Schizosaccharomyces pombe: one gene and its partners. The gene in region 1 interacts genetically with each later gene. Each region holds a gene or a part of one and is shown on either strand. Other genes may lie near its edges.

Region 1 (7,844 bases):
AGGTATTCTGCTTGAACTTTGAGTTGAAGAATAAATGGGTTCTTTATTTTGAAAGAGTTTGCGTTATGATAATTACTCTTTGGTTCGGCTTAGTGGTTCGGCACAATAATTATGCCGGAAAAAAACAAGATCCGCAAAACCCTCTATATATATCGACTTGCTGGCAGCTTAAAACTTTTCAGATCAGGTAAGAAACTAACGCAATAGTACCCTTACACAGTTATACAACTATTGACACATGTTTCATGGGCCACAACATGTGAAATGTCGGCCAAATTAAGCTTGAATTAAGCGAGATTTATAGTACCTTGAAATATTCGTTTTCATTTGCGAGTTTTCTCGTACCACTACAGTATGAAGCAGAATTTCTCAGAAAATAATACTTAACAAAAAGTTAGAGCTTAAAATATAATCCAAAATGGTTGTTAAGATTTTGAGAGCTGCCGTACCTCTCATATAAACACTCACCGCTAGAAATTAAAAAATAAGTGAGATGAAAATATTAATGTCAATGAGTATCTGAGAGCTTATCCATGCAATTTTCTTCTTCCGAAATGCCATCTAGCTTTAACGTTTGTTTTCACTCACAAGAAAAGTCGCTATAATGCTGAATTTTAATAGACATTCAGAATAACTGAGAACCTGCTAAACTACGTTAAGCTCATCTCTTCACATACCGAGCTCTTTCCAACTTCAAGTATTATGATAAGCAAGTTTCTTGAAAGCGATTCTTAAGTGAGTATTCTGCACTACGCTAGGCATAGATAACGGATTCGTTCTTGTGCTCCGCATTCGAATCTTAATTTGAAAAGCCTTCTTCTACCATGTAAACATTACCGTAATATCCACATAATCCTTTTGCTTTCATGAATTCAGTCAATTCTACAGGTTTTTCATAAAAACTTTTAATTTGAAGCACATTTGTTATATAAATATTGCTTTTCTTTGTCAAATATTTGATCCGTAAAAGAAAAAGTTCTCGCGGGACGTTTTTCGGTTAAAAATACATTCCTACAATTACTAATCTCGTGTTCAAAGACTAAGCAAAATGATGCTACCAAAGAGAAACATTATTCATTTCCTTCGTAAAAGGGCAATCTTCATAGTTGCGGCTTTCATAGCATTATTGACTGTTGATTATTCGCTCAACACCATTGAAATCACTGACTCAAAGTCGGGACCCTTCTCACTGAACACTCCAATCGAAGATATAAGGCTGGTCGAGTGCTTTTCCTTTTCTCCCTTTTGTCGTCCCGTTTTGGAATTTTGGAAATGGGCCCGTACTAGTCGGAATCTGTACCGTTCCCGAATTCCTTGGAAGCGTGCCTACCTTTACGTGAAACGACCAGCACTGTATATTCCTGGGGAGACTGTCTTAGTTGAACAGGTATATGTTGATCGACAGCTGGAAAAGCGTAACAAGCACGGTATTCAAATTCGTTATGGAACGGATGGTGATATTTGCGAATTTAATACATTGTTGGGTGAGGATGTTGTTGAATTACGAGAGGGTTGGTCTGCTGTTCTAAATGACTTTATTTATTTAGGACAGCCGGTCCTATTGACGCAAAGACCTTGTGAAACTCCTCCGACGCCATCTATTGAAGCGCTTAAGAGAAAGGAGCTTTCATCCGTAACCCTTACTTATGATGACGAAGAAAAAAAGACAATTAAGATTCTTCAGCTTTCTGATTTGCACTATTCAAATTCTGACAGACCGTGTCGCGATCCTTATCCGTATGAGACTGCAGAGGATTGTATGGCCGATGCAAAAACTACTGCTTTCGTGAATGAATTATTACAGTTAGAGGAACCGGACTTTGTCCTTTTGACTGGGGACTTAATTAACGGCGACACGTCACGCGACGCTAGAAGCTCTTTGATGAAAGCGGTGTCCCCTTTTGTTGATTACAACGTCCCATTTGCTGTAAATTTCGGAAATCACGATGATTTGGGAGATTTATCGAGGGAAGAGCTTGCCAAAATTTTGAGTCAGATTCCTGGTAGTATGGGTTTGATTGGAAATGTCTCTGGTGTTGGTAACTTTGTTTTACATAGTCCCCGAAAGTTTGCCATTTACGTTTTAGATACAAAGGGAGATACTTCAAATCGAAGATTATGCCCTGGATACGATGCTATTACCGAGGATCAACTGGAGTGGCTTTCTAGTAAAGTTGCGGATTTCAAGTACGAGCCCATTCAAATGGCTGTATTGCATATCCCTCTGAAGGAGTTTTGCGAGACTGAAGACCTTGTTGGTGCATTTCGAGAGCCCTGTTCTTATTCCATTTGTGATCCAAATACTGCGAAAGCTTTGAAAAGTTTACGTATTCCTCTTGCTATTGCAGGACATGACCATGTAAATGATTTCTGTGGAATCCATCCAGATTATAACACATACTTTTGCTTTGCTGGAGGTGCTGGGTTTGGCGGATATGGAGGACATGGTGGCTACGTTCGTCGTGCAAGGGTTTTTGAGTTGGACCCGGTTGAGCGCGCAGTTCGTACTTGGAAACGCTTGGAATGGCCTCCTGAAGACCGTAAGTTGATGCTGGACGTACAAACTATTTTAGTTTAAACAATCACTCCTCTCATTATATAACTTATTTCACAGCAGGATATAATTTTCTTTTTCTTCTATCTTTACGATATTTTTATTTTCTATTCAATCTTCATCCCAATTTTATGGGATCCTTCTTTTCAAAGTGAATTTCTTATGTTACGGAAGTAATATACTAATTAATATTAACGAAATTTTTACGCTCTTCCAATTACATACTTAAATAGTTTTGAAATGTGTTTGCTAATAATTAATTCCACATTCTACCATTTGCAGTTGAGATCCATCATATATTTTATTCCAAAATACAAGTAAATATGTCCATCCACATACGCAATACATATATACAAAATATATATATTCATTTATATAACAATCGTCAAACCTAAAGGCTTAGTCACACTTATAGCTCGCAAGTACGATTTATTTTTTGTGTTTTGTTAAAAAAGACTGCCATAACATCCTTAAAATCATAATCTGGAAACCTCAACATACGGAATGCTAGCAGTAAAAAGGGTAAAAAAAAGTAAGCTAAAAAACTCCTAACAAAATGAAAGAAATCGGTATACCTAACTGGTTGCAGCTAAAATATTTAGGCCTCAAGCTTAGCCTTCAAGATGGTACGAAGAGTATCAGCATCCTTGGCAAAGGCAGCGATACCAGTGGACAACTTGACTACAGCCATTTCGTCGTTGTTAAAGTCGAAACGGAACTTGGGCTCATCAGTAAGGTAGGAAACCTTCTCCAAATTGAGGCTGGAAGCCTTGGAGGCATCAAGCTTCTTGGGGACAGCGTCGGTGCTGTTGTTGAGCTGCTCAAGAAGGGCGGGGGAGATGGTCAAAAAGTCAACACCAGCGAGTTCCTTGATCTCACCGACGTTACGGAAAGAAGCACCCATGACAATGGTCTTGTAACCGAATTTTTTGTAGTAGTTGAAGATGTTAGAGACACTGACGACACCGGGGTCTTCTTGAGCGGTATAGTCACGGTTATTCTTAGCCTTGTAGAAATCGAGAATACGACCGACGAAAGGAGAAATCAAGGTAACGTTAGCCTCGGCGCAAGCAACAGCTTGGACAAAAGAGAACAAGAGAGTCAAGTTGCAGTGGATGCCCTCTTCCTCGAGTTGCTTAGCAGCTTGGATACCCTCATAGGTGGAGGCAATCTTGATGAGAACACGCTCACGACCAATGCCCTCGGCTTCGTACAACTTGATGAGGTGACGAGCCTTCTCGATAGTAGTTTGGGTGTCAAAAGAGTAACGAGCATCAACTTCGGTGGAGACACGGCCAGGGACGATAGCGAGGATCTTGGTACCGAATTCGATCAAAAGACGATCAAAAGCAATCTCAATTTGAGAGTTGATGGAACCACCCTTTGCCTTGGCATAGTCAACAGCAGCGTCGACGAGAGCAGCATATTGGGGCTTCTTAGAAGCGGCCAAGATGAGAGAAGGGTTTGTGGTGGCATCTTGGGGTTTGTATTTGGCGATCGATTCAAAATCTCCAGTATCGGAGACGACAACAGTGCCAGTGGCCTTTAATTGTTCCAATGAAGACATTTTGATAAAACTACCTCAAAAACTCGTTAGTAAATACTTTTTCCAGACAAATAACTTCGTTTTTCCTAAAAAACACTACAAACATACCTTTTCTGAGTTTCTTGGTGTTCCTAAGGATATAGGTTCTGGTTAAGTTGTGTGTAGCGTGGAAACTTCCACTTAAGCATTTTAGGTACGTCAGCCAAAGTTTCTTTGAATTTGCGGAGAACTTAGCAATGTTTGTCTAGATTTAATTGATTGCTTAAGCAGATGAAAAACTTTCGATTTTACTATAAAATTTCAGAAGAAAAAAATGGAAGCTGCAGACTGTGCTCAATGCATTCTTCACCATCGAAAGTATAGGAAAAGTCGAAAAAATTTATGAAAAAGAAAAATTTTAAAAAATGGTCGAAATCAGATTGTTTTTTTGTTCCAAATTGAAATATATAATGTCAGTAATCTAAGAAAAATAATGCGCTGGTCGCAAGCGGGATCCCGAACAAGATATTGAAGAGATTGACATGACTGGGCTGATTGCAAGTAGTGCCTTAAGGTATGTATTAATGCTAGAACGTTACAAGTATAGTATTGGAAATATTTTGTTAATTGGCACATTTCTTTTGTTTGGTTTGAGCGACATGACAGCAGCAAGTTGCTGCATCGGACATGATCGATGTTCGCACAAGTGTTAAATAGTTGGACCTAAAATTGAATACATATCCATGGAAAACTCTTAAATTGGTAAAAGCATCTGATACTCTTTGGATAGGTATACTCTTCTACCTACACTCTTGTCGATTCGAATTGCCTCTTACAGTAATACAAATGAGATTAGCTTCTAAGGTATCTACAGTCTTCAGAAATGGTCAAGTTCGTAATTAAAAAGGCTTGGTTTTAACCTGTTTATGGACATTGTCTATATAATCGTCAGCGAAATCTTCAAGCATAGTGTGAGATACACCTGTATACCCATAGTTGACGAGCAGATAATCGTAAGGCCTTTTATTTGACTTTCATTACTTATTATTACTTTAATCACTTTTTAAGTAATTTTCTTCAAAATAAACCACCGATATCTCACTCGACATTTAAAAAGAGCTATCTGTATATCCACCTGATGACATTCCATAGTCATCGAGTACAGCTTTGTAGTTTTTCAATAAGACACCCATTCCCGTATCAATTTTACTTTCAAACCACCTTCTGTAACATGTTTCCGGTCAAGTTCAAAGTCACACGTGAATGAATTGTTTGTAGACAAATAAACATCCATAAACTGAGCTTGTCGTGTAATAGGAAGAGAGTCGAGTAAATTCAATGTCATTGCACTTTATAAACTTTCTTCTATTTTTTTCTAGTTTCTTTTTATCTTACCATAACATTATCATTTAGATGAATCAAGTTCAATCCCTGACTCAACAAATTCGCCAACTTTACCTCTCTTTACACTCATTATTTTCAAGCAATTCTATTTGCAAGTCCAAAAGCTTTCCTAATGCCACAAATATTCTATTTCTCACCTTTGCCTAAACAATGGCTCGTCTTGCAACTTGTCAACTCCACGTTTGACTACTTCTAGCAGAATTTATTAAGGACGACTGTGATTGTCTAAACTTGAATTATTTGATAAGTTATCGTATATTCATCTCATTCCCATTGCTGCTTTCGTCCGTATACTGATCGAAATTGGTTTCATTCTGTTACGAATAGTATATATCCTTTCAACAATATCTTTCTTCATCGTAGAAAAACAAAGACATTCTTTTTATTAAAACCCTTACTTTACTTTAAAGATGATTCCTGAGGCGTGTCTTTTCGATATGGACGTACGTACATAGTAAAATAATATGGATCATTTACGGCGTCCATGATCAACAAATACAATATTTATTATCGTTTATTTGTTTTTCATTCTACTTAAAAGTGCTTAGCCTGATGATTCCTTAAAGCATACTACTTGAAAAGCGATAAAGTGTCCTTCTATCTAACGAATACAGGGCTTGTTGGTCGATACAGAGTCAATCTACACAAAAAGCACTAGTAAGTTTTACTCTTCCTTTTCCCTTTCTGTTCAAAGGTATTGGTTAGGCTAACGGTGCGTCTAGATATCATTTTAAAGCGCTATAACAAAGGCCCCTTCTCCATGGAAGTCAAGGCTAAGATGATGGGTAAGTGGCTTTGAGCTGTTGTTGTTTTTTTCAACCTTCTAATCATTCATGCTTTAGGCCGAACTTCAAAGGAGGCCAGCAGAATCTTTTTGGATTGGTCGGGTATTGATTTGACCTGCGAAGAATACATAGCATTACAACGTGAAACTCAAGCTGAACTATGGAGGCATACAAAGCCTTTACCTGGCGTTATGAATTTGTTAAGTAAGTTGAAATCACTAAACATTCCTATAGCACTAGCCACTTCCAGTGACACACACAACTTTGAAAAGAAGTCCGCTCATTTGAGTCATTTGTTTGATCATTTTGATGGAAACATTATCACTGGAGATGACCCTCGATTACCCGTCGGTAGAGGCAAACCTCACCCAGATATTTGGTTCATCGCTTTGAAGATGATCAACGACAAGCGCAAGGCTCAAGGCCAGGCAGAAATCCTGCCAGAGAACTGCTTGGTTTTTGAAGATTCCATTACAGGAGTTCAATCAGGCCGGGCGGCAGGCATGAAAGTTGTGTGGGTTCCTGATGTCAATATTCTTCCCTTTTTTTCTCTTTCTCCAGAACAAGCTGCGGACAAGCATATAACAAAGGTGCTAAGCTTGGAGAATTTCGATGTTACAAAGGTATAGTTGAATTGGTTTCTTTCTCTTACTTTCTTCATTTATCGCTTTTGCTTTATATCTTTTTTTTTGCTCTTTATTTAAGACGCAGCATGCTAGCTGCATTATTTACTTTTTATTCTTCGTTTTACTGATATATTCCCATGTCGTAAAATCTTTAAAAATGAACTCTCATCAAACATTCCAAATCTTTTTTGAATACTTTTCACAAATAACAATCATTACAAAGCCCTCATCCTTGATTCTTTCTTCAATCGTTTGAAAGTGTCTCATCTCCAAGTATCATTTTCACTACGTCTAACACTAGCTATCTAGCAATTTTTCTAAATGTTACTACACATGAGGTATTTTAAGAGATATTGCTTTTCTTATAGTTTGATTTTCAAGAATGTTGACTTTTACAAAAAGTACCTTTTTGGCCAGCACTCCATCATTTAGATGAAAGCACTTATATATTAATAAGGTAAAATTAATCATAAAATAAACAAATAAGTAAAAATTTTAAATTAATTTAAAAGTTCATCCTTCATTTTAGTACTCTCTAGCTGGACTTAGTTCTGTTGGCGCTTATTGGTGAAATTTGCCTGTGTCTTTTCCATATGCCACACCTCAAAGAATCCTTTTTCCAACCACCAAGGATACTATTTCTTTGCTAAATTCCAGTGGTAAATCATTGCCATGGGGTATTCTTTGGGGTACATCGGGGAGCATTGGGAAGAATACCGGGCTGTATTGTACATAGTCTTGCTGCTGCCTGTACTGATCCATTTTCTGATTCGACGAAAAACCCAATTGTCCAATTCAGATAAATCAAGCGAGAAAAAAGATGAGGTAAAGAAACAGAGAGAAGTTAAAAGGTTTAAGCGGGTTGGCAAAAGGGGAAAGATCGGTTCGCCATCCTCTTCCATTCGTAAACAAAATGATACTATTGATTGGAAAAACTCTCCTCTTTGTGT
Region 2 (7,565 bases), 610 kb from region 1:
CAGTAAGGCTAATTAATTCCTTTAAATCATTTTCCAGTAACTGTAATTCCTCGTTTTGGGGAGTCTTCTGAAGAGAAATTTGAACGAGAGCAAGCTGGCTCTTGTATTCCTCTAATTCCTTCTCCATACGATTACTTTTATAGATTTAATAGATTTTTTTTTCAAACAGTAAAAATTTCCAAGTGTAATGGCTTTATCGCCAAAACCGGTTGTAAGTGTAGATAATATGTGAAGCAGGCGCTCAGTGAAGTGCCTGAAAATTAAGCTCAGCTATTACACTAGGGTGAAGAAAACAATATTGGAGTGAGATTAAATTTATACTAAAAGCACTAATTCTTTAACTCAATATACTAAGACATTATTGATAATAGTTAAAACAAAGAAGAATATTTGATATTTCTATATTCAGTATAATCAAGACGTAAAAGAAAGTATTCTATCAAAAATTTCATGCTCTCGAAAACTATGGATGGGTAAAAAGAACTGGATAATCAAGTATTTTCGAGGTTCGTTTATGGCGTGCATGATATCGATTAAAGGCATTGAACGTTTAATGCCGCATAATGGAGGATAAATTATTAATCCAGAAGACAATATGTTTCCGAACTCCAAGCATTCCTTCTTTATATGAATTTATTATTTTCTAGGTCAGCTAGAAGCAATGGCATTAGGAGGTACTATAATTTAACGATTTCACTCGTATATCTTTAAAATTTTGGAGTAAATGAAATTCTTACAAAACAGTTTTACTAGGACCATAAGATCGATCCATAAAGACCTTCGAGACTTCCCAGGCAAGCCAATCGCTGGTAGTCGTTGGCAATAATCCCATTCTTTGCAGCTTATAGACTCCAATCCCCATAAGCAATAATTGGAATAAAATATAAGCACCCATAGCGGGCCAAAGGGTTCCTGGGTGGGTGCCTTTAAATGGGGTGAAGGCAGATCCTGTAGATGTTATTGCTTTCAGTGGATTTACAAGCAACATAAGAGTCGTCATAATACTGAAAATTTGTAGTGAATTACCAGACATGTATGCTAAAATAGCGTTCATAGGAATTTGTTTAAGGGGGGAATATGCAAGCTCCCATGCTTTCTTTAGTAAGAGATCCTTTTGTAATTCTTCCTCTCGTTTAGCAAATATGGAAGTTGAGGAAGCTGAATTTCCTGAATGAATGTTTTTGGAAACCAACGACTTCTGTTGAAATCCTCGAGGCGTAGGGAACTTGTCAGAATTGTCAACGATCTTTTTGGGCTTCTTTGCTAACGCTGGTTTGACCAAATCGATCCAATCTGTTTCTTCGTTAATGTGCATCTTGAAAGGGAAAAAAGAGAAATTTAAAGTTGCGACTAAATTTTTGGACTCGTAAACCAAGGAATAAATTTAGTCAATGAATGAAAAGCCTGATTGCAGCTAACCTACAGTCAAAAAGTATTGGTAGCACCTCAATTATGTTTCTAAAATACGAAGACCAGCCTTATTTGATGTTTCTGAAACAAGATATTTCACCAGAAGTCAATCTCAGTTTTTCGTTATTTGATGTAAGTTGGGTGGTAGAACAATCTTTTCAAGCAAATTAATAACTTTGGTTGAAGTTAAAAATTTTCTGGTCTAAATAATTTGAGAACACGCCTCAAAATATAATATTTCAAAATAAACAATATAGTGGAGGTGGCAGATGCTAAGGAACGAAACTGGTGGTAATAGTGAAAAGCCCATCAGCTAATGAATCCCAAAAATACAAGCGCAAACAATGGCAAAAAGAAAGCCATCCTGTTATAAAAGTTCAAGATTAACTTGCTTTTGTGCTTTCTTTGGTTTTCTACTGTCTCATGGCCCGGATATGAATATGTACAACGCTTAAACATCTAATGTTAATGATTTCTTGTTAATTATCAAACCCAACGATCATTATTGATTACAGCTGGAATTAGTTTTGGTTTCTTTTATGGATATAGGATCTTGATCTTGAAAAAGTTCTGACTCTTTATCTTACAATGGTAATACCATGCTCAATGATTGATATTTTTACACTGAGATGTTTTCAAATATTCAATGGATAAAGAACATATCGTTTTGTAACTTTTTAAGCATAATCTCGTTAGCCAAGCTATTACATAAACAAAGATCGGATACAGTATGAAAGTACTCATGGTGTAAATATTTAGGAAGACGTGTTTTGGAGGGCACTCTTTGTGAGAATTTTTTTCTTATTCTAGAATATGAGTTTTAACATATTGCCGCAAGCCCAAAATTGAGTTGTACGACTCAATATACTCTGCCTAAAAAGTAAGTGCATTTTCGAAGCATAAAGAAAAAAAATGAACATTACTGGAAATTTATTTTGAAATAATCGCTTTTTAATCGTGTAATGTATTGTTATTGATTACCTTACCGATACTGATAATGCTTGCTTTTCTCCTGTTTCGAGTTTCCGTTCAAAAGACTTCTTGTTTATGATATATGACTGCGCATAAGAAGTGATAATTGTCCTTGTATATTAATATTGCCTGAAATAACTTGTAAGACCGAGCGTCTAATTTTTAAAAATATATAATATCAAGAGGAAAAACTTGCCGTTCTGCTATGATAGAGCAAAGTCGAAAACAACGTGAACCTTCAACGAAATTCTTTACAATTTATAAACCATTTCAAGTCCTCCATTCTTTAAAACGGAATGATTCTCCTTGCACTCGAATCTCACATAAATATATTCAACGAAATATAAAAGACACTTTGTTTATTTTCAAATAGCTTGTTTGCTAGAATTGCTGCTACGACTAATTCAAAGGCAGCCTTTGGAAATTGAACAACATTAAATACGACTCTAGTTTCCATTGTTTCATTACTGCTCTTTTATACCGTTCACAGTTTTCTAAGACCCCTCAAATAAAAGCAATTCGCGCTTTTGTAACTAACTTCATTCTGGCCTAATTCATACGAAACACTAATGAATGGGATAAGGACCGTTGGGCAGTTTTCTGAGTAAAGTAATAATAACAGTATCCTGTTGCATTTGATCAAATTATAAAATGATCTAAAAAACTCAAGCACCCATGATATGAACCGTAAAAAACCTTTCCTTTTTCAGAGACCTGGGTACAGAAACTTGATCACGGTTTATTATAGATAAGGGCCACTGTAAAAACATAATTCAAAAAAATATAAATCAATGTTATCTAAAAAAGCAGAGAAATAAGAAATTTCACTAATCAACAGTAAACGTGTGGGAAAGGTTGAATGTTGTAAGACTAGCGTCACATCCCTCCAAATTATAAATCAGAACAAAATTTATACTGACGCTCACGAAATACAAATTACTGAAGATTCATAAACAGACGATATTTTCCTTGATTTTTGTTTCAAGTTGGTTTTCCCCATTTTGAAACTATTTGGTATACCAATTGCACCAGAACTGAAAGTATAGTAGACATTTACTTTTCGTGAGAATTAGAGAATTTCTTAAAATTATTTTTCTTCTCGATTTGACTGTCATTTCACAATGCCTATTGTGAACGGTTTTAAAGTAGGACCTATTGGCTTAGGCCTTATGGGTTTAACTTGGAGACCCAAGCAAACTCCCATTAAACAAGCCTTTGAGTTAATGAATTACGCCTTGTCCCAAGGTTCGAACTATTGGAATGCTGGAGAATTCTATGGCATCAATCCTCCTACTGCCAATTTAGATTTGTTGGCTGATTATTTTGAAAAGTATCCAAAAAATGCCGATAAAGTATTTTTATCAGTTAAGGGAGGAACAGATTTTAAAACACTCGCTCCCCATGGAGATCCTGAATCAGTGACTAAGAGTGTAAAAAATGCACTTACTCGTTTACGTGGAAAGAAAAAGCTAGATCTCTTCCAATGTGCCCGAGTTGATCACAAAGTTCCAATTGAAACTACCATGAAAGCATTGAAGGCTTTTGTAGACTCAGGAGAAATTTCATGTGTCGGTCTTAGCGAGGCTTCTGCTGAAAGCATCAAACGCGCCCTTGCCATCGTGCCTATTGCGGCAGTCGAAACCGAATACTCTCTATTCTCACGAGATATCGAGAAAAATGGCATTCTCGATACTTGTACACAGCTCTCTATCCCAATAATCGCTTACGCGCCTTTCTGTCATGGACTTTTAACTGGGCGTGTCAAGACTGCTGAAGATCTTAAAGACTTTATCAAAGCATTTCCCTTCTTACGGAATATGGACAAGTTTAATCCAAAAGTTTTTGAAAAAAATATCCCGTTTCTTAAAGCAGTCGAGCAATTGGCTCAAAAGTTTGGTATGAGTATGCCTGAATTCGCTCTTAACTTCATTATTGCAAACGGAAAAGGCATGATCATTCCTATTCCTGGATCTACAACTGTTCAACGAGCTGAGAGCAATCTTAGTGCACTCAAGAAATCTTTGAGTTCAGAACAACTTGAAGAGGCTAAAAAAGTTTTGGATAAACATCAAATCTTTGGACTTCGTTACAACAAACAACTTGAATCCACCCTTTCCATCTGAGCATGATTTTAGCAACTTCACCGATTTGAGTTTTTTATTTAATATTTGCATTTAACCTTAACTCCTCTCTAGATTTAGATGTATACATGCTGTGTCATCCTATCGGCATCAATACAATAAAATATTTCTTTAAAAACTAAGACTGTAGTCTTTGAGTTTATTCACACCTTTATATATTATTCTCTATTGTCAGTGATTTATCTTACACTGTGTAAAAAATAGAAAGTAAGGTAGTGTAAGGAACAAGAAAACTTTCAATAAGCTTTGGGTATAATTGAATAATCAGAAACTTCCTTTACACAGAATAATCATGACTTTGGTGACACAATTTTTTAGAATGTCAACTGCTCTGCATAAAGTAATTTAGGAACGAAATTGTAGCCTTGATATAAATTCAACCCTAAAGTATTATGATGGTCTACGGTTATTTCGGTCTAGTCGACGATGCACAAAATGAGATGTCAATAAGCGCGATGCTTCAATCATTTTCTTGAAACTTATTTTAATCAATAGGAATTATCTACAGATAGGTTACGCTCGATTATTAATTGCGATAAGAATTTACATTGAATTGGTTGCCAAGGCTGGAGATTCATTTTTGAATTCAATACAACAATGAAAACCCAACGTATTATGGTGCTTCAAAAAGCGGTGTAGTAGAAAGTATTTTATTTAACTGCTAGTATCTTCTACGACTGACAATCGTTACTCATTTCTTAGGTGTTTTCAATCCTGCATCTAGGAAGACGATCATCATTCTTACTCTTATTGTTTCCGCCAATATGCTTTTGATATTTAGTTATCTAAATAGTAGGCTGCTTGTATCAGTATAACATGTAGCACCAAGGTATGCGTTACTAACAGTAGGATGGGTTTAGTGGTAGTTGTGCTAACTATAACCAAACTCACCACCAAAAAAAGCAATTTTTAACACAGTGCTATTCAGTACGATAAGATTGAACTGTTTATGGAATAAACACCTTGCAATTAAAGTATGGATTCTACGGCTGGCTCCGATGCTTCCACTCCTACAAATCACACGGTAAGCTCGAAGAAGCGAAGAGGACGCCCTCCTAAGGGTAGTTACGCCGCATATGGAAGTAGTGATGATGATGATGAAGAATACTCTGGGCGTACGCGTCGTAGAAATCGTAATACTCGCCCTAGAGTTTCAGCGCCGTCTTCTAGCTCAACAGTAGTACCGAAGGATTTGTACTCACATCGGGCTACTTTGGAAGATGATGAGCTAAACTTTGGTGTAGTAGATCCAGAAGGAGAGAAAAAAGTGAATGAATTGGGGTATTTGAATGGCGGTCGAGAGTATAGATGTCGAACGTTCACGTGCTTAGGTCGTGGTAATCGATTGTATATGCTTTCCACCGAACCAGCGAGAGCAATGGGCTATAGAGATTCGTATTTATTATTTTTGAAGCATCGTTCACTGCATAAAATTATTGTTGATGATTCTGAGAAATGGGACCTTATTGAACGAAATATTATTCCTCATTCTTACAAAGGCCGTGCGGTAGGTATTGTTGCTGCTCGTTCTATCTTTCGTGAATTTGGTGCTAGAATCATCGTTGGTGGTCGACGAATTGTAGACGATTACTGGGAAGGAGAATTCCGCGCTCGTGGTTTCGTCGAAGGAGAATTAGCTGATCCAGACGATAAATTGCCTCCTCCCGGTATGCCATACAATCGAAATCAATACGTCGCTTGGCATGGAGCTAGTGCAGTATATCACCCGCAGCCTTCACTAGAAGCTCAGCTGCCTGCAGCTGCTCGAAAAAGAAAAAAGGAACCTCCAAAAGATGCCACATGGCTTTTTCAACATGCTAAAGCAACTGCAGCTTACAATAATGATATTACAAAATACCTTGTTCAAAAACAGGATATCGGTTATTTTGAACCACATACTAACTTGTTGCATGTTCCCCTTAATACCCAACCTACAAAAACCCATTGGATTCAGGCAAAGACTGGTACGGAATGTCCTGCACCTAAATTGGATATTCTCGTTGCTCTTAACTCGGATGTGGCTCCACAGGTGTCTATTGCAAATATCCCTCCCTCCGTTTATGCGAGTTGTCCACTCCACGTTCAAGAGGCTATTCGCAAACGTCAAGAACAAGAGATTCGTAGTATTCGTTTGAATAGCATGTACTAGAGTGCTCGTTTTCTTTTAATCCTATTTTGTTTTGGATGTTTTATAATATTAATTTTCAGATTGTATACAGTCATTTATCACACGTACGACGTAAGCCCGAATTATCTTCTTACTCGAGTTATTTACGGAGAAAACATGCGTTAACGAAATCCAAAACTTGTTAATCAATTACTTTAGTACTTTGTTTTTGCTTAGTAAAGCGGAAAAAAAGATATTGTCTACAAAAATCAGATGTACATTCAACAAAACTATTAAAGAAATGATGGCGCGACGTTTCCATTGAATGAAACGTTTACCAACCGAAACCAATCGATTAGCTTGTATCCTCTCACTTGTCCTAATCGGTCCAGCCGAGGGCGAAGAATATTATGGAGGATTGTTTGATGAATTATTGGGCATGGTCAGGTCGTAGGTTAAAAACTTTAGGTAAGTCAAAACGTGGCTTTGGCGAAGGAGTATTTGTGAGAAGAACGATTGCTGTTATAATGAATATTAAATAAGCAAAACCGATCACCATCCACATTATAAAGAAAAAACCATTGAATCCCTTCAAATAATACACCAGGTCGACAATATAAGCAACCAAGTGGAGGACAAGGAAAACATACCCGAATTGTCGAAGAATGATAAACTTCTTCATCGTCGCCTGGGTGTACATTTTATATGTGAGCTCACCTCTTACTGCTATCCTGTCGTACCCTGCCATGATGATGAAACCGAGAGAAGTAGATATTCGTGTAACGTGCTTCAAAAAAAAAGAGCGTTTTAAGCAGACGAGAACGGTAAATAAAAAAATGGCTCTTCACGACAAATAAAAAAAAAAGAATGGACTAATTTTCAAGTCCAAGGTGTGTCGCAAAATGTATCTCATCAATATTAAATAGTGAGATCAT
Region 3 (7,620 bases), on another chromosome or scaffold:
ATATTAGGTTTGTTGCTTTAACCTTTTGGCTTTAACAATCTTTCAAGTAAGTTTCATTGTAATTCTCAGGAGTGCGATATTTGAATTGAAATTCTCATTCTTCATTCCCAAATTAGCTTCGTTTACAAATATTCTACATTATTAGAAGTCTAAAAATTGCTATTTTGTTGTTACCTAATAGAATATATATTTATTTATTCTTCTGCTGTTCCATACCTGCCTTTCTAAAAAGTAAAAAACGAACAAAACGAGATACCAAGCTAAAAGTAACATATCGGTCTTGTGACTACGAGTGAGCTTTCTGTGTTTTTCAAAAAACATATTGATCTAAATGAAACTTTTTTTCTTTCGTTGCAACATGACTGTATTTTCTCCTTAAGTAGTTGAGCTCATTGGAAATGGTGAATTTAAATGATGGTCTAAACGTTTCGATGTTTAAGATAACTTCTATGTCCAATTATAAATATTTGATATACTAATTTTATACACAGTGAGGTAAAATCAAACAGAATTGTGTATCCAAACGCGTTTGTTAATGTTGATTGTATCGCTCTTCCATATCCTTTGGTTAAGCGATGCACTTGGATTTTCAGCTGAGCATTATTGCACTACTATTTCGTGATCTATAAAGTATTATTACTGTCATTTGTATTCTATAAAACTTGTTAATTTACGGAATAATTGTCAAATTATTGTCATTCAATACGATGGTATTTACCGTGCTAAGCTGAATGTGATAAAGGGTAGTCTTTATAAAAAAGAATTCATAGTTCACTGGAAGATTTGAACCAGTGACATTTACATAAAAATCAAAAAAAGTTTAAGAAATGCATATCAACCCATGAAGTAATAAACAATTTCGGAGTTTGAGAATGAGGATTGGAAGAAACTTTTAAAATATACCACGAAAATTTTACAATCGCGAATTTCTTGCGTTTTTTTTATAAGAGACTTAGTAGTATCTTCTAGATACAAAAGTATAAATCGAGCGTTACAGTAAACTCAGGACAAGAAAAACTTGACTTATATTGATTACTATCCTTAAATCTTTCGCAGAGGCGCTGCTGGTATACCTGTAGGTAGCTGGTATCAAATGGTCAGCCAAGTATCTTTTTTTTTTAATTATATCTAGATTATTTTTTAATTAATTAAAAAGTAAGTGCAATGATTAATAAGGAACTCCTGATAAATAACTTATTGTTTGTATGTTATGCGGTTATTGCGGATCAAATAAATTGGGAGCGTAGACTTTAATTACTTATTTCTTTCATATATATAGATATAATCTGCCATTTTTAGATTCATCAAGAACACAATAATCTTCAAGTATTTAGATTTTTGCATTCGCTGGATAAACAAATGGACTTGATTGCTCTTGCAACTGGAAGAAAATCCAACCATCATTATGCTAATTTAGATCGAAAATCTTCTAAAGAAAAAGTTTATCCATCATTTTCTCTGAATGAAAATAATCGAAAGATTACCGAAAAGCTATCGACTGACAACAAAAGCGATTTTTCACATGATTCAAAAGTAGATACGAGAATCCAAGTTCCATATTTGGTTACTTGGGGTGGTTTAAATGACCCTTTAAATCCTCGAAATTGGTCATACACTAGAAAATGGTGGGTCGTTATTCAGGTTTCCACTATCACGATAGTTGTAACCTTCGCTTCCAGTGTTTACTCCACTGGTACAGTTGAAATATCGGAAGATTTGGATCTTCTATTTTAGTTACCACTCTGCGAACGTGCACATTCTTGGTCGGTTTCGGTGTAGGCTCTATTCCATTTGCTCCACTAAGCAGTATATACGGAAGACTTATTGTATACATTGGAACTCTGCTTGTCTTCATTATTTTTCAAATCGGTAGTGGTTGCGCTAGCAATGTTTGGTCATTAGTCATATTCAGGTTTCTTCAGGGTTTTTTTGGAAGTACGCCTCTAGCAAATTGCGGAGGAACAATTAGTGATATATTCACACCGATCCAACGTACTTATGTTCTTCCCGCACTATGCACCTTTCCATATTTAGGTCCCATAATTGGACCAATTATTGGCAATTTTATTTCGCAGAGCTATTTAGGATGGAGATGGACATTTTGGATCAACATGATTTGGGCTGCTACTATTCTTGTGGTTGTGTTCCTCGCATTTCCAGTACCTCACGAAGATACCATCCTTGACTATAAAGCAAAACACTTACGTAAAACAACCGGTAATTCTGCATGGTACACAGTTCACAAACGCGAACGTGATCCAAAAAATGCAATTGTTCAAGCTGCTACTCAGGCGGTTTCCCTGATTTTCACAGAACCTATTGTGGTGTGTTTTACATTATATTTAACTGTAATTTATGTTATCAGTTACATAAATTTTGAGGGATATCCTATCGTATATGCCAAATACGACTTCAATCAATGAGAACAAGGATTATCATTTATTGGTGTTGGGGTAGGACTGGCTGTTGCTGGCTCCTGTACCCCATTGGTTTACTGGCATTATTTAACAACTACTAAGAAAAGAAACGGTCTGACGTGTCCGGAAGACAGGCTTTATCCTTTATTTATTGCATGTTTTTTATTCCCCATTTCTATGTTTTGGTTCGCTTGGACTTGCTATCCCAATCGTATCCACTGGATAGTACGGATCATATCTAGTGCTTTTTTTGGGTTCTCTCTATTGGTTATATTTTATGTTTGTTATAATTACATTATTGATTCCTATCAGCATATGGCGCCAAGTGCATTGGCTGCATCGACCTTAATTCGGTATAGTGTGAGCGGTGGCATAACTTTAGTTGCACGCCCTATGTATTTAAATCTAGGCGACCACTGGGCTACAAACGTGCTTGGATTTATCTCGATAGCTATGATACCTATTCCTTTCATCTTTTTTTCGTTTTGGTAAAAAAATCCGTGCGTTTAGTAAAAACGCTTATAAATTTTAAAGACTTAGTTATTAGCTTGAATTTGAAATTTTGATTTGAGAAAAAGTTTGATATCAGTTTAAGAATGTTAACTATTGGAAACATATGTTTTCTTAAGCCATTTATTTGCAATCTAAATTAATAACAATAAGTAAAATGTCTACATTATTATTACTTAACCATTTTACTAAACATACATAAGAGCACATTTATTAAGTATTTGAAAAATACCCATCATTAAATACATTGTTACTTTCGTTAAAGTTTGGTTAGTCGTCATTACTAATATGAAGTAACTTCAACGACAACTACATGCATCTTAGTAAGGCTTCTTTTTTATTTGATTGTAGCAGATTTATCCTAAATTTTCATGTGTAGGTAGGAATTCCTTGAAAAAATTTATATTAAAAGGAGCGATGTTTAAAAAATGGCGTTCGTACAAAAAAGGCCTGCGTAATATGTCGCTCTAAAAAGCAAAAATGTGATGGGCAACTCCCTTGCCTATATTGTAAAAAATATGAGTACCAATGTGCTTATGAGGGCCAAGCGACTTCTACCTGTAATTCCGAGGCATCCTTGTTCAATGATGCGAACTTTAAAATCGGAAGTGATTACAGGTCTAAAAGAATAAAGGTTGTTTCGGATACTAACAATAATAAAGAAGATGGTGACGGGAAGTTGAGTTTTACACAATGCAATCCAAGAATGGATATTCATCATGAAGCTGAGAACTTTACAGCTATGGTTCCTTACTATGAACCCAAGAAATTTCGATTTTTTTATGAAAATAGCGCCATAGTATTTCCTCGGATAGTAGGAGAAGGACCAAAAATGAACTACCTTTCTCGTTTGCATTCATTTGCATGAAATGCGGGAATACGCAGTGAAAAAAAAAACCATGTGTTTCCAAAGTTGACGGAACTAATAACTAAAGAAAAATACTTAAAGTACGTATTTATATATTTTGAAGAAGTTCATCCCATATTTAGCATGTTTGATCAAAAAGCCATGGAGAAAAAGATCCAATTCTTATGGGACAACAAATCAACTGATAGCTGCTCTGAGTACGTCGTGATTTCAGTAAGTATACTAGGATTTTTTTTTCGTCCGATTCGGACAAGTCTTTAGAGGGTAAACTAGTAGAGCATATAACGCAAGTTTTGGAGAGTTCACTGTCGACCACAATTTTATCATCGATTCAACTTACAGTTTGTTGGGTTTTAAGAACAATTTACTTACATGCTACTACTCGTCCTCACCTCTCCTGGATTGCTTCTTCTGTCTCCATGCACTATGCAGAAATTGTAGGACTTCATCAGGAGATAAGTAAAATACGGGTAGAGAATGACAAGGATGGTGAAGAAAACAACGATTAGATTTTTTTGTCAAGAGAAAAAAATTTTTGGATTGCTAGATCCTTAAATTGGATTTTAGCAGCTGAATACGGAACGAGGGGAATAGAGTTAACGAACATAACAACCCAAATGGTTGAAGAGGATGGACCTGCTTATCAGCTTGTATTGTTATTTAAAATCATAATGGAGTACCAGATAATATCAGAAGATTCAAGATTTGTATATTTACAAGCATTCCAAAGACTGGACCAGCTTTGTGACATTCATTCACCAGCACTTGTATTGCTAAAAGCAACGGTATGTTTTCACTTGTACCGAAACTTATTTCTTGCAAGAATTAAACCTTTTTGTGTAATTGTATCCATCCTTTTCTCTGTTATCGACAGAGCTCTTGAAAGCTGCAAGCAGTTAGTTTCTCAAAGGAAAGCGTGGTAGGGGATCGTGGATGTTCCCTTTCATGCTATTTGCGTATTGCTATCCATAGATACTATCGAATCTATGAGTATTTAGGAAAATCTTTAAGAGTATTACAGGAAATTGCCGATACTTTTCATAGTCATATGACTCAAGAGGCCCTTCTCACTGCTTGTGGTTTGTGTGAAGGCATGAGGAATAAAAAACTTAAAGAAATAAATATACTCGAAACTGAATATTTAAGTGATGTGAAGGTTTTAAGAGATAATGAATTTGAAGATCATAATTACATAAATTTCAGTTTTAACGATATATTCCTTGATATGTTTGATTTTGGTATTGTACGTAAAATTAAAGATAAAAATGCTATTCTTTTTATAATAGCTAACTCTAAAGGAATTGAAAGAGTAATAACTTTAATTAATAATAAATTTAGAACTACTAGTAAATATAATCAGATTATTAATAATATATTTGCTCAACCTAGATTTAAAGAATTTAGTAAAACTATTAATTTAAGTTTAAACACATTCCAACTGAGTGTTTTAAATAACCATTGGCTAGCTGGATTTTCAGATGCTGATGCTAGTTTTCAGATTAAAATTTTAAATAGGGACTAAAAAATAGAAGTTCGATTGAACTATCAAATAGATCAAAAAAAAGAGTATCTTTTAAGTTTAATTAAAGATAATTTAAATAAAATACAGCTAATTTTGGAAAGTGGAAAATAACAATAATATTAAAAATATGCATATCCTTTACAAGTCTATTTGTTATTGATTTCTTTTCACCAAGCGAGGTCCCTTACTAAAGTTTCTTTATGGCAGTACAACTCCCGAAGTTTGCTACTGTTTTTCTTTTAAAAAAAACCTAAGATGACATACAATTTGATAAACCTGTCCATACAAAACTTCGGACTACGATAAATTATCTTTCTCCACATTTGTCAAAGACTCATTCTCAAAATATCAATTATACCAAGAGTTTTATAATTAACAATATACTTAGTTTAGTTTTTTAAAAAATGTTTCTTAGACAATTTTTATATGTCCGACCTGCATTTTATATAGGGTTTTTTCCGAATTGTTGCTTCCGATAAAGGATCTAGTTGAATTTAGTCATTTTGCTTTATGGCTCAATAACTTTAATTGTTACTTCCATATTTGAGTAAGGAGGAAACCAATTTTAAATTCGATTCAGAATGTGTTATATCAATGCTTTATTACAAAATTGTTTCTACAGAATTAGACGACACAAAGTGGATACTTATTTTATAATTTGGTAAAGACATATATGTTTTTTGGGCTCTATTAAATATTAAGCATAAATTTCCGTTTAATGTTCATTAAGACGAATTAAAAAAGTGCCAAAATAAAAACCATTCCTAATGTTATTACTACATGAGTACTTAAAATATTTATTTTTTGTTTATTTACTTTTTTTTTATTTTAATAAAGTAATTGACTTGCCTGTTATCGTACAAAATAAATCAGCAATAAATCGAATTTACCTTGAGCAATTTCGTAAAAATAGATGATGAATAAGAAAGCAAATAGTTACTTTTTGCTTCTTTACTTCATATATTATCATACAAAAAATAAAAATTAAAATCGTTATGTATCAGAATATTACATAAACCAGAATTTGCATAGAAGCCAGAAAAATATGTGTCGTTTTAAAATAAAAAAATTAATTTTCGCACTCGCACTTATAATCGTATTCATAAATATATAGATTTAAGTTATACTAAATATCCGGTTGAAAATCCTATTCCTGCAGGTATACGGCTACACGGAGAACAGAAAAGCATTTAACAGTATTTCAGTCACCAGGGCATGCTTTATACTACTATTTAAACTTAAACTGTTTATAACATTTTTTTTATAAAACAAAAGTTTTCATGGTTACTTTATGCACTAAGTAATTTTTCGGTATTAATGCAAAATATTTAGTTAGAACTTCAATATAATCAGTAGATTTATTTTATTGAGTTATTATTTTTAAATACGATATATGCATTAAAGACGAGGCTCCCGTTTATCAGGACGTATATATGTTGCTGAAGCTTGATTTTGTTCAGGTCTAGAATCATCCGGGGTTGATGTTTGGAATGACCCACTGTCTCCTTGATTATCGGTATTTTCAATAAGTTCGGTTGTTTCTCCATTGAGTCCGATGTGAGACTTCAAAGTTGCGTTGTTTTGCTCACGACCGAACTCTCTGTAACCCTCTGGATGAGGCATCCATGGTTTCAAGTTAGATGCGTACATAGTATTAATCTCTTCCAATGTACGACCCTTGGTCTCATGGACAAACAGAAAAATAATTGCAGCACCTGTTAAATTACATGAAGCAAAAATATAACCATACTTAAAACCAATAGAATTTGTGATGAAAGGAGTAAAGAAAGAAATCAAAAAATTCCAAAACCAGTTAGCTGAAGTAGCGACAGCTGCACATTTGGAACGATAACGAACAGGATATGACTCACCCACAATAACGTATGCGGCAGGGGCCCAAGTTTGAGAAAATGAAAAAATGAAAAGGCATGAGAACACAATCATTACAGCACCCGCACGGTGGTTTGAAGTTCCATTTTTGTGATATAGTGCACGATCACCAACTGCTGCATAAATGAAGAAGCAAATATATTGCCATATACCACCAACAATCAAAGGAGAACGTCGTCCAAAGAATTCAAGCACAAAAATGGCTCCAAAAGTACAACCACAATTGACAGCATCCGGAATTAAGGCAGCCAAATAGGGTGAATCCATACCGGTACCGCGGAATACCTGAGTACCGTAGTAGAAATAATAATTAGCACCAGTAAGTTGTTGGAACATCATAACAGCCATTCCAAGGAATGTACGATAGCGAATATTTGCATTGAAAATTTCTGGCCATCTTGCCGGACCACCAG

What was found. Genes that interact genetically often act in the same process or in processes that back each other up.
Region 2: mutations in SPOM_SPCC1020.07 (region 1) and akr7 together harm fitness more than expected from each alone (negative genetic interaction), as found in Schizosaccharomyces pombe (one large-scale study listed by BioGRID).
Region 3: mutations in SPOM_SPCC1020.07 (region 1) and SPOM_SPBC1348.12 together harm fitness less than expected from each alone (positive genetic interaction), as found in Schizosaccharomyces pombe (one large-scale study listed by BioGRID).

The regions. Positions count from the first base shown.
Region 1 is NC_003421.2:769,775-777,618, reverse strand, and holds SPOM_SPCC1020.07 (pseudouridine-5'-phosphatase), read left to right. Parts: upstream 1-5,655; 5' UTR 5,656-5,893; coding exon 5,894-5,926; exon of another isoform or gene 5,927-6,097; coding exon 6,098-6,140; exon of another isoform or gene 6,141-6,205; coding exon 6,206-6,268; intron 6,269-6,325; coding exon 6,326-6,897; 3' UTR 6,898-7,344; downstream 7,345-7,844. Other genes in the region: dcr2 (phosphoprotein phosphatase), read left to right, coding at 1,049-2,578; tal1 (transaldolase), read right to left, coding at 3,153-4,121; wybutosine biosynthesis protein Tyw1, read left to right, coding at 7,567-7,844.
Region 2 is NC_003421.2:1,383,299-1,390,863, forward strand, and holds akr7 (pyridoxal reductase), read left to right. Parts: upstream 1-3,306; 5' UTR 3,307-3,503; coding exon 3,504-4,505; 3' UTR 4,506-4,663; downstream 4,664-7,565. Other genes in the region: splicing factor Spf30, read right to left, coding at 1-127; chaperone EMC4, read right to left, coding at 734-1,315; RSC complex subunit Rsc7, read left to right, coding at 5,500-6,672.
Region 3 is NC_003423.3:31,872-39,491, forward strand, and holds SPOM_SPBC1348.12 (DNA-binding transcription factor), read left to right. Parts: upstream 1-3,240; coding exon 3,241-3,300; intron 3,301-3,339; coding exon 3,340-3,741; exon of another isoform or gene 3,742-3,776; intron 3,777-3,876; coding exon 3,877-4,012; intron 4,013-4,056; coding exon 4,057-4,254; intron 4,255-4,362; coding exon 4,363-4,718; downstream 4,719-7,620. Other genes in the region: hexose transporter Ght7, read right to left, coding at 6,716-7,620.